Linked DNA regions of Caenorhabditis elegans. The protein of the gene in region 3 purifies or fractionates together with the protein of the main gene of each other region. This does not show direct contact. Each region holds a gene or a part of one and is shown on either strand. Other genes may lie near its edges.

Region 1 (5,041 bases), on a different chromosome or scaffold from region 3:
TATTGACAGCCAAAAAATGACAATTAATTTGCCACTTTTTGAGAAAGTAATAGTAATATCGCAAGTTCAACTCCCTACAGTGTTTGAATGTTATTATTTGAAACGTCAACCAGAACCCTCAAAGGAGACAATTTTTTTGATCGACGACTTCCAAAAAAGTGGAAAACTGGCTCAAGTCTGAGAATATTTTGAAGGTACAGTTCACTATTCCTATGGTGCCAAAATAACAAGTTAACATAGTAAAATTATTTATAAAAAATGGATTGTTTTAAATTTATAGTCAAGAAGTGAATATTACTCAGTTTTTGTCATTCATAATTTTTAGAGTCGACCAGAAAATTTTTTCTCCTACGGTTGCTACACTTTAATTTTGTTTTAATTATTTTTGTTTTTTTTTTTTTGGTCGTTTTGAAAAATTTTATTCAGACTAAATTCCTACCGGAACTACCCCACTTTTAACCGTTCCATGAATGCTAAAATACTCTTCCATTATGTACTTTTGTTGGCAGTCATTTCAAGCGATTATTGCTTTTAGTTTCTCAGTACACCATCATGGTTCATACAATACTGTTGACTGCTGGCAGCTATACGGATAATTCCTGCTAATTTATTTGGCATAACGATGTTGCCAAACTGTACTTGTGGCAAAATTGTTTTGAATTTTCATGTTCTTTTAGTTGAGACAGCATAAAATATTCCAATTTTTTCCATTCCATAATATGTTCTGTTTACTGTACATTCTGTGACGAGCATTTTCTTTGTCTGACTATTCGAGATAGAAAGAAAAAACAACAAAAACATTGTGGACTGTTCTTTGTTCACCTAACACTCTTCAGTGAAAAACGCTATACATTTGTACATTCAGCTTCCGATTTGAAAGCGAATCAAAAAGAATAAAACGCGAAACTTCTTTACAACAACACAGGCAATATTGCTTTTTTTCCGTTTGCAGTAGCCAATTCGCTTTGAAGATTGATTTGGATAGGCAAACTTCCAAGGGCAACTGAAAAACACTCCAGTCAAGGGAACGGGAAAGATGAAAATTAATGATGCGGGTGTAAATGAAGATGGGAAAGTTTGGCGGGAAGGTTAACTAGGGGTTACTTTTTGGCTGAAAAAAATGGGGGTTCGGAAATAGAGCCAAAGGAAAAAAAATATTGATGTGAAAATTTTCAAATATTGAAAATCAAATTTAAAAGGATGGACCCAAAATCTGCTCAAATAAACAAATGTCGTAGTATAGTTTCTCGAAAATTTTTCAAATATTTTTATAGCCGCTCAAATTTTCACAAAAAAAATTAGCCTGATTTCAGCTAAAATCTCCAATTTTGGCCACTTTTTTTTCGATTTATCAATTTTGACTGAACTCGGTAGCTTTTAGGCCACGATAAAGTTTAGTCCACGTTTGGCACAACCTTTGCCAAATTTTGGCCCGAACTTCTGTTTTTTTTTAGCGTGGGCAGAAGTTTGACAAGAGTTGGGTCGCATGAATCCAAGTTTAGCCAAAGTTTAGCCAACTTCTGATCCAAGCTAATACTTTTTTTTGCCAAACTTGGACAAGAAGCTGGAGCCAATTGTCGAGTACGGAAGTGTTGTAAAAACTGGAAAAAATAGTTTTGAATCGTCAGAAAACTACTTAAAACAACTTTCGAAAAGTTTCGTTTCGAAATTTCTTCCTTTGAGAACATTTTTAGCATATACGTTCAAAATCTCTAACAACCTTGAAGCATCGTAAATTCTATATTCCCATTTTTAGCTTTACTCATTTTGAATTACAAGCTCAAACATTATACGAATTCTGAATCAATATGTGTTAGCACCGGAAGTGGTACGTGGCTATAGCAGGATCCGGCATTAATTTAATGTGATGAGAGCAGGAAATTTGTGTCTATCGCTTCCCCCGTCGCTATCAACATTTTCATTTTCAATTTTCACACCGCCATGTACGGCTTAATAATTGATCACATTGCTACTTACATTAAGGAAAAATATGGAGAATCTACCTGGTCAGAGGTTAAGGTAAGTGTTTCCCAACAGTTTTGCAGTGAGTGACCATGAAAGAAAAGCCATTCGCAACGAAGGTTGTGCAACCTCTCTAACTGGTTTCAAGGACGGTCCAATTTCTTGTTGGCGGTTCATAGGTCACCGAGATAGTCCATTTCCTGTTTGATAACATCTCCCTAGTGGCGGTGGCGTAATGAGCCTGTTATACTTAGAGTCGATAAGAACCCCCCCCCCCCCCAGGATTTTGGTCGGGTATTAATGTACCACTAAATGATATAGTGCTGACACATGTCACGACCAATCTATTTCGATTGAGGTTCTAGGTTACGGCAACTATCTTTGTACATGATTTATGCACCAATAGATTGCATGTTACAATGATTGTGTTGTTTTCTTCATTGTCAAGGTTATTTTGAGTTCACAACTTTTCAGTTCGTGTCGGGGGTCACCGACGATACATTTCAAATGGACAAAAAGTTTTCTGAAGGTTTATCTCACAAGTTGATTTGGGCATGTCATGATGTGACGGGGGATCCTGTGGATGAACTGATGACAAATATTGGAACAAGTTTTTACAAGTTTCTCACAAAGTTTGAGTTTAATAAGGTATACTATGTATTGTTTTACATACCTTATGTGAGTGAAAATTAAAAAAAATTGTTACCGTTTCGTTTTTAAAAAATACAGGTTTTTTTTTATCAGTCCAATTTTTCAAGGTACTACGCGTTTTGGGACGAACATTTCCGCAGTTTTTGAACGGATTGGACAATTTGCACGAGTACCTCCGTTTTACGTTTCCCAAACTCAAACCTCCGTCATTCTACTGCGAACACGAAAGCCGTACCGGTTTGACACTTCACTATAGGTTAGTGCTATAAGAGAGGAGAGGGGGGGGGGGGGCCGATGACAACTCATCATCAATAACTGGTTGTTTTGTACGCCGACTGGTATGCAAACCAAACCAAAAGTAACAAAACATTTAGTGCGTTTATTCATATTTTAGTTTGTGGACGTGGAAAGTGGTGGGGATGTTGAATTGTGAATGTGGATCATAGAAAAACGGGTACCTGTGTATTATGGGCACGAATTTGATTAATAAATTGAAATTTTATTCATTTGTGAAATTCTAGTCATTTTATTTAAAGGTAATTTAAAGGTAAAAGTAATGGCTTTGGGTATTTTGAACTAAAAGGCCCATTAGGTTTACAGGCTTAGGCTTACCGCATATAGGCTTACAGGCTTAGGCAAGGCTTAGGCTAACTTGCTAGAAATAGTTATAGGCTAGCTAGGGAACACCGTAAACTTAAGGTGGCCTAAAACATTGGCTTGAAACATAGGCCATTTGAAAGCTGAAACTGTAAACTCTAAGATTTTGATTTTAGTTTTTGCCCAAAACATCCTGGAAATGTTGAAAAGTAGAAGTTGTTAATCAGGAAACGTGTTAGTTGACAACTTTTTTCAAATCTCGCGTTTTTGGAGAGATACGACTAGCCAAAGTTAACGAATATTTGGCTTCGACAAATCTGAAATGGAAGTTTCTAGGTTGCCAAATGTGTTGTGCGAAATCAAAACTCAGATTCTTACAGATTACAATTTTAGCTTTCAAATGAGATATGTTTCATGCCAATTGGCCTCCGCAATTTTAAGGGGCTCTCTAGTCGTAACTAGAAAATGTTCATTTCAAAACTCGTGCATATACAAGATTCGAAAAAAGTTCAAAGATCGACATGTAGTTTGATGCTTGTAGCGGTGTTATTTGTTCACAAATAATTCCTTTCGCGACCGCTCAGTTTCCTTTGTGTCAAAATGTTGCAACTTGAAGATTGTGAGTAGTGCGTGAAAGACAGTGCACTCTTGACGATTGTTTCCTTCCGTCGTCGACAAATGTTTGATGATTCTCGCAGACCGAAATGTTCCTGGTTTGTCGTCGCAGCAGCGCGTGAAACTTCTTTTTTGTCTGTCTTGTTGTAAAATAGAGGGAACTTATGTGTCAGGTCAATGAGACACCCACCATACTCACATATGACCTAGAATTGAATACTTGCCCAGATACTTCTCAGAGAGTTCGTCGTGGCGGCAAAAACGCCCGATGACATATAATACGAACCCATTACTTTCGATTTGAAGAGGGATATGTCATGAATACCATTACAACGCGGATGTGATGATGTTAAATTGTACAAGAATTTAATCTAAAGTCTTTGGAAAGGGACAAATCAGAAATAGTTGGCTAGAAAATCGATAATTTTGGAAAACAAATATCCAATCTCAAAAAGATAGGTAACCTTATTTGATTTCGAATCGGCTAAAAATGTACCAAAATTAGAAAAAAAACGAGAAAAAAGCGAACAGAATGAGGATGTTAGATTTCAGCTCACTTTAATAATTTTTCTTTGAATTTTTTGAACTGCCATAAACTCGCTAATTCTCAAAATGGAATATAGTATTTTGCAATCAATTTGAGTTCCTGTTACAAAAGAAAAAACCACCCATAATGAACAAATGACGGTATACAAATTCGAAAATAATGGCTTACTTTTAGCTAAAATCTCCAGTTTTTTCAACTTTTCCGTAGTGCTACTGCATCTTTTATTACGTACTTTGATTGCTTATTTCAGATTATTTAGTTAATTGAAATCCATCTAACGCAAATATATATATATAACCGAAAATTGGCGAAAAGTGTTGCCCATCGGCTTCAAATTTATAAAATTGATCAACGAAAAAAGATGCAATAAAATATGGTAATTTCAAAAAAAAAGTTTTCTTCCAAAATTTGTGAGACGGAAATGTGGGAAAACTTGATATTTTAGCTAAAAGGCCCATAAAAAATTTGAAAACTTTTTTGAGAAGTCTCATTTCAAAATTTGTACTTTTGAGCACATTTTTGGTATACATACATATAAATTCGGAATTGTTTGAACCGTTCCTTTAACTTGTTTAACAACTTTTCAATAAAACTGTCAGCCTTCGTGAAGTTAGCACAGAGAATTCAAATTATAAACCAAAAATCTGTGCCGCAAAAAAAATTGATTTT
Region 2 (3,144 bases), on a different chromosome or scaffold from region 3:
GGTAATGAACCGTTTACAATATTTTAGAAAATTGAATTTCATAAATTCAAAAATTGCAATTTTATTTTACAGTTGGAGGAAATCCGGAAACAATTTAAAACTTTCACGACGATTTGAATTTTTTTTTGTGGTTTTTTGTTTCTCTTTGATGATGGCCATAATTAAAGGAATAAGGAGGAATGCGACTTAATGAAAAAAATAAGAGAAAATTACAGAGAAAAAAAAAAGAAATTAGGTATATATTTTAATATCACACAAGATGCTGCTCATCCGTCAAACGGTGGAGGAGAGTCAGAATCCGACGAATCTCTATCCGGTACACCAGTTGCTGCGTCTTCATCGAGGAATAGTGTCAATTTGTCGTTGAATGGACGTGCTTGAGCGGCCGGATACTTTTGATCACGATCACAAATTCCTCGTACAATTTCCGCTTTTTGTTTCCCGCAAATGATGAAAGCAACGTTTTTGGCGTGTTGAAGAGTTTGCAAAGTAAGTGTGATACGAGATGGTGGAGGTTTCGGGGAGTCTGTGATGACGGAAACCCAATTTAGCTCGGTAATCTTCTCCAGCCGCTCCTTTCCAGGGAAGATACTTGCAGTGTGACCATCTGGACCAACTCCAAGGAAAAGAATATCGAAACGAGCAGTATTGTTGAGCTGCTCCGGGAGCAAGTATTTACGAAGACTGATTTCATAGTGTTGGGCGGTGAGGCAGGGATCCTTGAAAATTTGCATGGGCACAAAAACGTCTCTGAGCTCATTCGGGAATAATCTCAAATATTCTCCCTGATTACTTTCCTCGCTATCCAGATCAACGTTACGCTCATCAACCATAAAAATTCGAATCCTCTTCCAATTCAGCTGCTCTTGTGGCAAAGAGAGAATAGCTTTCGAAAAGACTCGTGGCATCGATCCACCGGAAACTCCAATACTGACTGTACCATTTTGATCTAGAAGATAGGTGAGCTTTTCCTCGAGATAACGACGCAGCTGAAGGATGAGCTCCTTTTCGTCGCCAGAAACGTTGAGCGCCGGCTTCATCTGAAAATAATTTTGTTTTATAAAGAATAAATACATTTGAAACGAGATTTTACATTGCTATTCGATACGAATTCGTTAACGAGACACATTGATATTCTCCACGGAATGAGCGGGGGCTGAGTGAGCGGAAATACTGAAAAAGAAGCAAGAAATAAAATCGTTTATGACATGAAAAGGATTTCTCTTCACGAAATAAACCAGGTTTATTTTAAAAGCTAAAGGAAGGTGTCATAAATAAGAAAAAGGAATTTTAATTTATTTAAACTGTATTATTATTATTCAGAAAAAAGCCGATGAAAACAGGAAAAAAACAAAAAGTGATAAATGTCTAGCAACAATACTCCGAAATGCATGCGCGCCCAGTTTATTGAGACGATAGACTATGCAAAAAGACGAGACGCAGAGTATGCAAGCATGCTCCACTGCACTCTTGTGTCGAAATACGAGCGAGTCCACGGATTTTCCATTGATTTCCGAGTTTTCTTCGCATATTTTTGCAGTTTTCAAAGCTTCATGATTTGCAATTTAATTATCAAATACTTAATATTGTTATTTGTAGTAAATATGACCACAAAACTGGCGCGATTCGCTCAAAAACGATGGATTTCTTCGACGACTTCCACATCAAATATGTACGATCCAAGAGTATTCAGAGATCCCGTAACGAATGTTCAAGAGGTTAATTTGTTTGTTTTAATCTATAAATCTTAACTATTATTTTAGCTCCGAAAACCATTGGATTCGGATGATGAGCGCAACTTTTTGTTCCTCAAAGCGATGAAAAGTGATGCGACACCAGTATTTTACAGAGATCATGTGGTAAACTTGCAATGCTTTGAATATTTTTTTAAAATCAAATACTATTTTAAAGATCGACAAACTAATTCGAGTGTGCACAAAAGACGGGGAAAAGGAGACTTCTCGCAAGAATGTGCTCAGCGCGTTGGAAATCATCAAGCGCCGGCAGTACAAGGCATGGGCAAAGGCTTCCGAAGAAGAGAAGAAAAGTATCGAATTAGACCCATTTCTTGTTGCGAAAAAGGGAATTAAAGTGAGAATTTATATTTTATTGACTGGTTAATTAAAAATAAATTCAGAATTGTCATCCTCTCATGAAGCTTCAAGGTGTAACCCGAGGAGGAACCACCTATCAGGTTCCATTTCCAATTGAAGAACCAGAAGCCGAGTTTCGAGCAATGAAAATGATGAGAGATATTTGTAGAGTTCGATCGAAACATGGAGAGACACATTTCAAGTGGGTTAATTTCTATTTTTAAATTATAATTTATTTAATTCCAGAGACATCCTCGCGACCGAGCTTCTCGCCGCCAGTCAAAACGAAGGATCAACGATTCAAGCGAAACAGGAATTGCACAAGACTTGTGAAGCGAATCGGGCATATGCACATTATCGTGCCTAATTATTCATTTTCTAGACATTCTATAATTAGCTTAGATTATCGTTTCTCTTTTGTTTTGTTACTTTTTTTTGTGTTTTTAAACTTTTGAATTGAATTGAAAATATCGATTTATTTCTTTCCGTTTTTCCGAAAGGCAATCATTATACCTTCAATACCTTTTATTTTAAAATTTGCTTTCATTAATTACTAATTACCTACCACCAGAGCTTCCAGATGTCGAACCAATCGGCAACAGTTGAGCAGCTCAGTGGATTCGAAAAGCAATATTCGCTTCAAACTGCGGAAATCACCTCGAAAATCGGCCGCGTGCACACTCTGCCATCGTCCGATCGAGCCGGAGCAGTTCAGGAAATTCGAAAAAGTTTGGAAGAAGTGAATGATTTGCTGGATCAGATGGAGCTGGTTGTTAGGGAGTTGGAGTCGAATACGTTAGTTTTTTTGCTTTGATTAAAATTGTAATTAACATAAAATTTGCAAAAAGAGAAAAAAAAACTGCGCCGCAGGGCTGCAAAATTCAGTACTTTTCAGAACTGAACGCACAAAATACGAACTTCGTGTTCGAAGCTATCAAAGTGACAAGAAACAATTGGACACAGAGCTGGAAAAAGCTATAAAAAGAGTCAGAGAAGAAGCTGATCGGGATGAATTATTGGCATTTGATGATCAATTAGATGAGCATAGGCA
Region 3 (4,096 bases):
GTGCCTCGATTAAAAATTGGAGAACAGCTACTACGCACAATTTCTAGGTTAAAATAAGTTAAAATAAAGAAAAAAACTCACTGCATCACCTTCATCTTCATTGCACTTTTATTATTGTTCGGAGGATCACAAGATGGTTTTGGTCCGGGAGTCATTGCACGAGTTGGAACTGCAGGCTGAAATTTATTTTAAAACTAACTTAAATTTTTTCATTTACAAACACACCAGATCTGTAGATTTTGGCATTTTCATGTCAACAGATTGTTTCTTAGTCAGAGCATTGTTGTTTGTGGTAGGTGGCTGTGAAGCCTCGAATTGCTTCAAAAAATATTATTGCTGGATGATCTGAGAGAAAAAAAACTTACGTAGCGAGAAACCCCAATCTGCTTTTCATTTGGCGCCAGGAATACACGTTCCGGAGCAATCGCACTCTCTTTTGTTCTTGTTCGAGGTGCCTTCGCTGGTGTCTTCAGAGGCGCAGGTATTGCCGCATCAACAGGTTTTTTAGGTTTTGTTTTGAGTGCAAGTTTAGCCAACGGATTCTCTTCATCATCACCTTCAAACTCATCCTTTTTCTCCACTGGTGCCTTGACGGTTATGTTGAATTTAACGTCATCTGGAAAATTATTATCTCATGTTCCCATCGCAAACCGCAAAGCCGCGTTTTTATCATAAGCCATTTTTATAAGTGCATGGTTGTATACTACTTGCCTACTTCATGCCTACACGCTTATTCCATATTTTAACCTATAAGTTTGCCTTTGTACGTGCCCTTTACACATGTTTTGTTCTGTCTTCGGGTTTACTTACTGGCCTACTTCATGTCTACTAAAACTGCTCAAGTATCAAAAATCACCATCATCAGAATCCGGTTTAGTAGGAGTTCTCTGTATTGGTGTTAAAGCCGGTGAACTAGACTGAGTTGTTCCAACATTTGTGTTTGTCGGAGATACGGATGGACGGTGTGGCTCTTTCTTTTTCGACGACTGAAATTTAGTTTTTATCACATAGATTTGTTGTGAAACTTACGCAGAAAATTAAAATCAATGGTACCAACAGAATGGGAATCAAATGACAAATCAAGGTTAGAATTTCTGAAAGATATCATCAGAATCTGTTCAACTTGCCAACCTACCTAAACCAAAAACGACCATATTTTTTGGTGGAAATTTAGAAAAACTTTACGAAATGATTTGTTTTTCTTATCAAATGCACAATCTCTTCATTTTTTTGCTCTAATCATTTTTTAAAATTTCACGTAAATCAATTTCTAGTGTTTGAAGTGTCGCTACTATAGAAAATTTTTGAAAAATATTTTCAAAACTTTTTGAAATTTTTTTATAGTCCAAAGGTTGAATTATCTCAGTTTTCCCCCCAATCGTGGAAGTCTACTAAAACTGGAATTTTTTCTACAAGCTTAACTACTTATGTACTAAGTTTCAAATGTAAAAACGAATGTTATTTTGTCAAACTGCAATTTTGAATAAATCATAAATCGACTTATTTTTCCCATTTTTGAGAAATTTTATTCAACGAAAGAGTCAATGCCAGTTTTGTTAATTTATACTCAATTGGTTAAAAAAGTTCTAAGTGTAACTTTCTGAAATGTGTATGATTTTTTTTCAAACTTTCTGTCAAATCATATGTCCTCCACAATTTTTGCTAGCAGATTCCGGCGTCCCCCATAACCAAAAACAGAAACCCCAGAAGTGAATGAGTAAATAATGATACAATTGATTCTCAATGTCAGACTTTATTTTCAAATTACGAGCGCTCCGGTATAAAATTCAAGGGACGAGAGGGGCGTCCTCATAACAGCCCTAACCACAGTCTTATTGTGAGTCGGTTTCCATCATATGGGAAACCTGAAATATTTCAGCACTTTCCTGTAAAAAAATTTCAAAGAGTTTTATAAGATTTTGCTATAATTGGCTTTATGGTTATATTTTTAGAATTGTTAGAGTAATGTTAAAAATTTGATCCACTGGCGATCTACTTCCCATTCCAAAAAAAAAATTATTTACGTGAAATTCAAGAAAACAATTGATTGAAAAAAGATTTTAAAAAAAGATAACAAAATCAAAAAGATTGTGCATTTGATAAGAAAAACAAATCATTTCGTAAAGTTTTTCTAAATTTCCACCAAAAAATATGGTCGTTTTTGGTTTAGGTAGGTTGGCAAGTTGAACAGATTCTGATGATATCTTTCAGAAATTCTAACCTTGATTTGTCATTTGATTCCCATTCTGTTGGTACCATTGATTTTAATTTTCTGCGTAAGTTTCACAACAAATCTATGTGATAAAAACTAAGTTTCAGTCGTCGAAAAAGAAAGAACCACCTCGTCCAATCGCATCACAGACCTCAGCTAATGCTTTAGTACCACAGTCTAGCTCACAACCTTCAACTCCAATACAAGCCCCTCCTATCAAAAATGAAGAGGATGATGGTAATTTTTCGATACTTTGAAGCATTGTCAGTAGGCTTTGGGTAGGCCGTAGTCAGGCAAGAATGGGCAAGTAGAGTTACTCAATAGTAGACAGGCAGATTGGCAGATAATAAAAGTAATAAAGTAGGTATGGAGCATGCATTTAAGCAGGCAGGCACGTAGGCAAGTGTGAGGTACACTCGTAGGTAGGCACGTTAGAAGCCATGATGACAAAACGCGAATAATCGGGCGTCCGGTTTGTCACGCAAACATGATACAATAAGTGACTTTCCAGATGACGTTAAATTCAACATAACCGTCAAGGCACCAGTGGAGAAAAAGGATGAGTTTGAAGGTGATGATGAAGAGAATCCGTTGGCTAAACTCGCAATCAAAACAAAACCTAAAAAACCTGTTGATGCGCCTGTGAAGACACCTGCGAAGGCTGCACCTCGAACAAGAACAAAAGAGAGTGCGATTGCTCCGGAACGTGTATTCCTGGCGCTGAATGAAAAGCAGATTGGGGTCTCTTGCTACGTAAGTTCTTTTTTATCATTTTTTCTACATAATCTTTTTTGAAGCAATTCGAGCCTTCACAGCCATCGACCATGAACAATGCTCTGACTAAGAAACAATCTGTTGTCATGAAAATCTCAAAAGCTTCAGACCAGGTAAGCTTCAAAAGAAAAATAAAGTTAAAGTTGAAATTTTAAAAATAAATTTCAGCCTGCAGTTCCAACTCGTGCAATGATTCCCGGACCAAAACCATCTTGTGATCCTCCGAACAATAATAAAAGTGCAATGAAGATGAAGGTGGTGCAGTGAGTTTTATTTTAGTCAGAAAAGTGAAAAAAAAACAAGATTTTGAAAACTTTCCTAATTCACGTGCTTGTCTAACCGAAGACGATACTTTTTTAAACTGATTACAATTGATCAGGTGGATGTTATAGAAAATATAAAATCCACATTTATCTGACCTCGTTTTAGAAAACAATTTATTTCAGAGAACCTACTTGCAAAGAATTGGCTGTCGAGAAAACTCAATGATCCTTTGATGTTTCCATTTTATAAAAAATTCTTGTCTTGTCTAGTTTTCTGTGTATAAGATTTGTTAATTATTATATAATCCTATAGTTCTGTATTTCAATAAACTTGAGACATCAACTCTGTTTGTTTTTCTGAAATTCTCAGCAATTGTTTAGTGAATTTCCTATAAGGAGCGAATTAACGAAATGAATCAAAATAATTAAAAGATACTCCAAATCATTTATTCAAGTCGAATTCTTCGAAAATTATCTTCACAAACAAATCGACTTCCAAAAATATAACTGAAAATCTCAAAGACATGCCCCTGTTAGAATTTGCATTTTAATGACGACAACTGATTTTTTTAAATAAATTTTAGAAATAACTAAGCCCTCAAAACTATGATGTACTTCTGTGACTTTTTTGTTCAAATCAGAAATCTTGACGCAAATGAATGTGCATTTTTGCGGAAATAAAGTCAGATGATTTCTTTATTATAATATTCATCTCTAGATGCGTCATAAATGAGTGTATTGATGTGATCTAACAAACCTGATGAATAAATATAAATAAATAACGTTATTTCGATTTAAAATTTTAAAACTGTAAGATCGAAAAACATGAAGCGTTTGAATGTTAGGA

Evidence for each region.
Region 1: the proteins of C10G11.10 (region 3) and gcy-31 fractionate together in Caenorhabditis elegans (co-fractionation; one large-scale study listed by BioGRID). This does not show direct contact.
Region 2: the proteins of C10G11.10 (region 3) and mrps-7 fractionate together in Caenorhabditis elegans (co-fractionation; one large-scale study listed by BioGRID). This does not show direct contact.

What each region holds. Positions count from the first base shown.
Region 1 is NC_003284.9:2,424,405-2,429,445, reverse strand, and holds the start of gcy-31 (Soluble guanylate cyclase gcy-31), read left to right. Parts: upstream 1-1,941; coding exon 1,942-2,019; intron 2,020-2,436; coding exon 2,437-2,610; intron 2,611-2,720; coding exon 2,721-2,869; exon of another isoform or gene 2,870-2,961; intron 2,962-5,041. UniProt on the Caenorhabditis elegans protein: Synthesizes cyclic GMP (cGMP) from GTP. May play a role in embryogenesis.
Region 2 is NC_003282.8:14,766,186-14,769,329, reverse strand, and holds mrps-7 (Small ribosomal subunit protein uS7m), read left to right. Parts: upstream 1-1,599; 5' UTR 1,600-1,604; coding exon 1,605-1,718; intron 1,719-1,763; coding exon 1,764-1,859; intron 1,860-1,911; coding exon 1,912-2,091; intron 2,092-2,137; coding exon 2,138-2,295; intron 2,296-2,339; coding exon 2,340-2,460; 3' UTR 2,461-2,557; downstream 2,558-3,144. Other genes in the region: Y57G11C.3 (Putative 6-phosphogluconolactonase), read right to left, coding at 267-1,040, 1,094-1,129; vti-1 (t-SNARE coiled-coil homology domain-containing protein), read left to right, coding at 2,674-2,888, 2,989-3,144.
Region 3 is NC_003279.8:6,304,411-6,308,506, reverse strand, and holds C10G11.10 (uncharacterized protein), read left to right. Parts: upstream 1-2,122; 5' UTR 2,123-2,151; coding exon 2,152-2,170; intron 2,171-2,211; coding exon 2,212-2,276; intron 2,277-2,319; coding exon 2,320-2,449; intron 2,450-2,723; coding exon 2,724-2,965; intron 2,966-3,009; coding exon 3,010-3,099; intron 3,100-3,154; coding exon 3,155-3,249; intron 3,250-3,432; coding exon 3,433-3,475; 3' UTR 3,476-3,591; downstream 3,592-4,096. Other genes in the region: C10G11.1 (uncharacterized protein), read right to left, coding at 82-176, 226-318, 366-616, 857-986, 1,030-1,094, 1,136-1,154.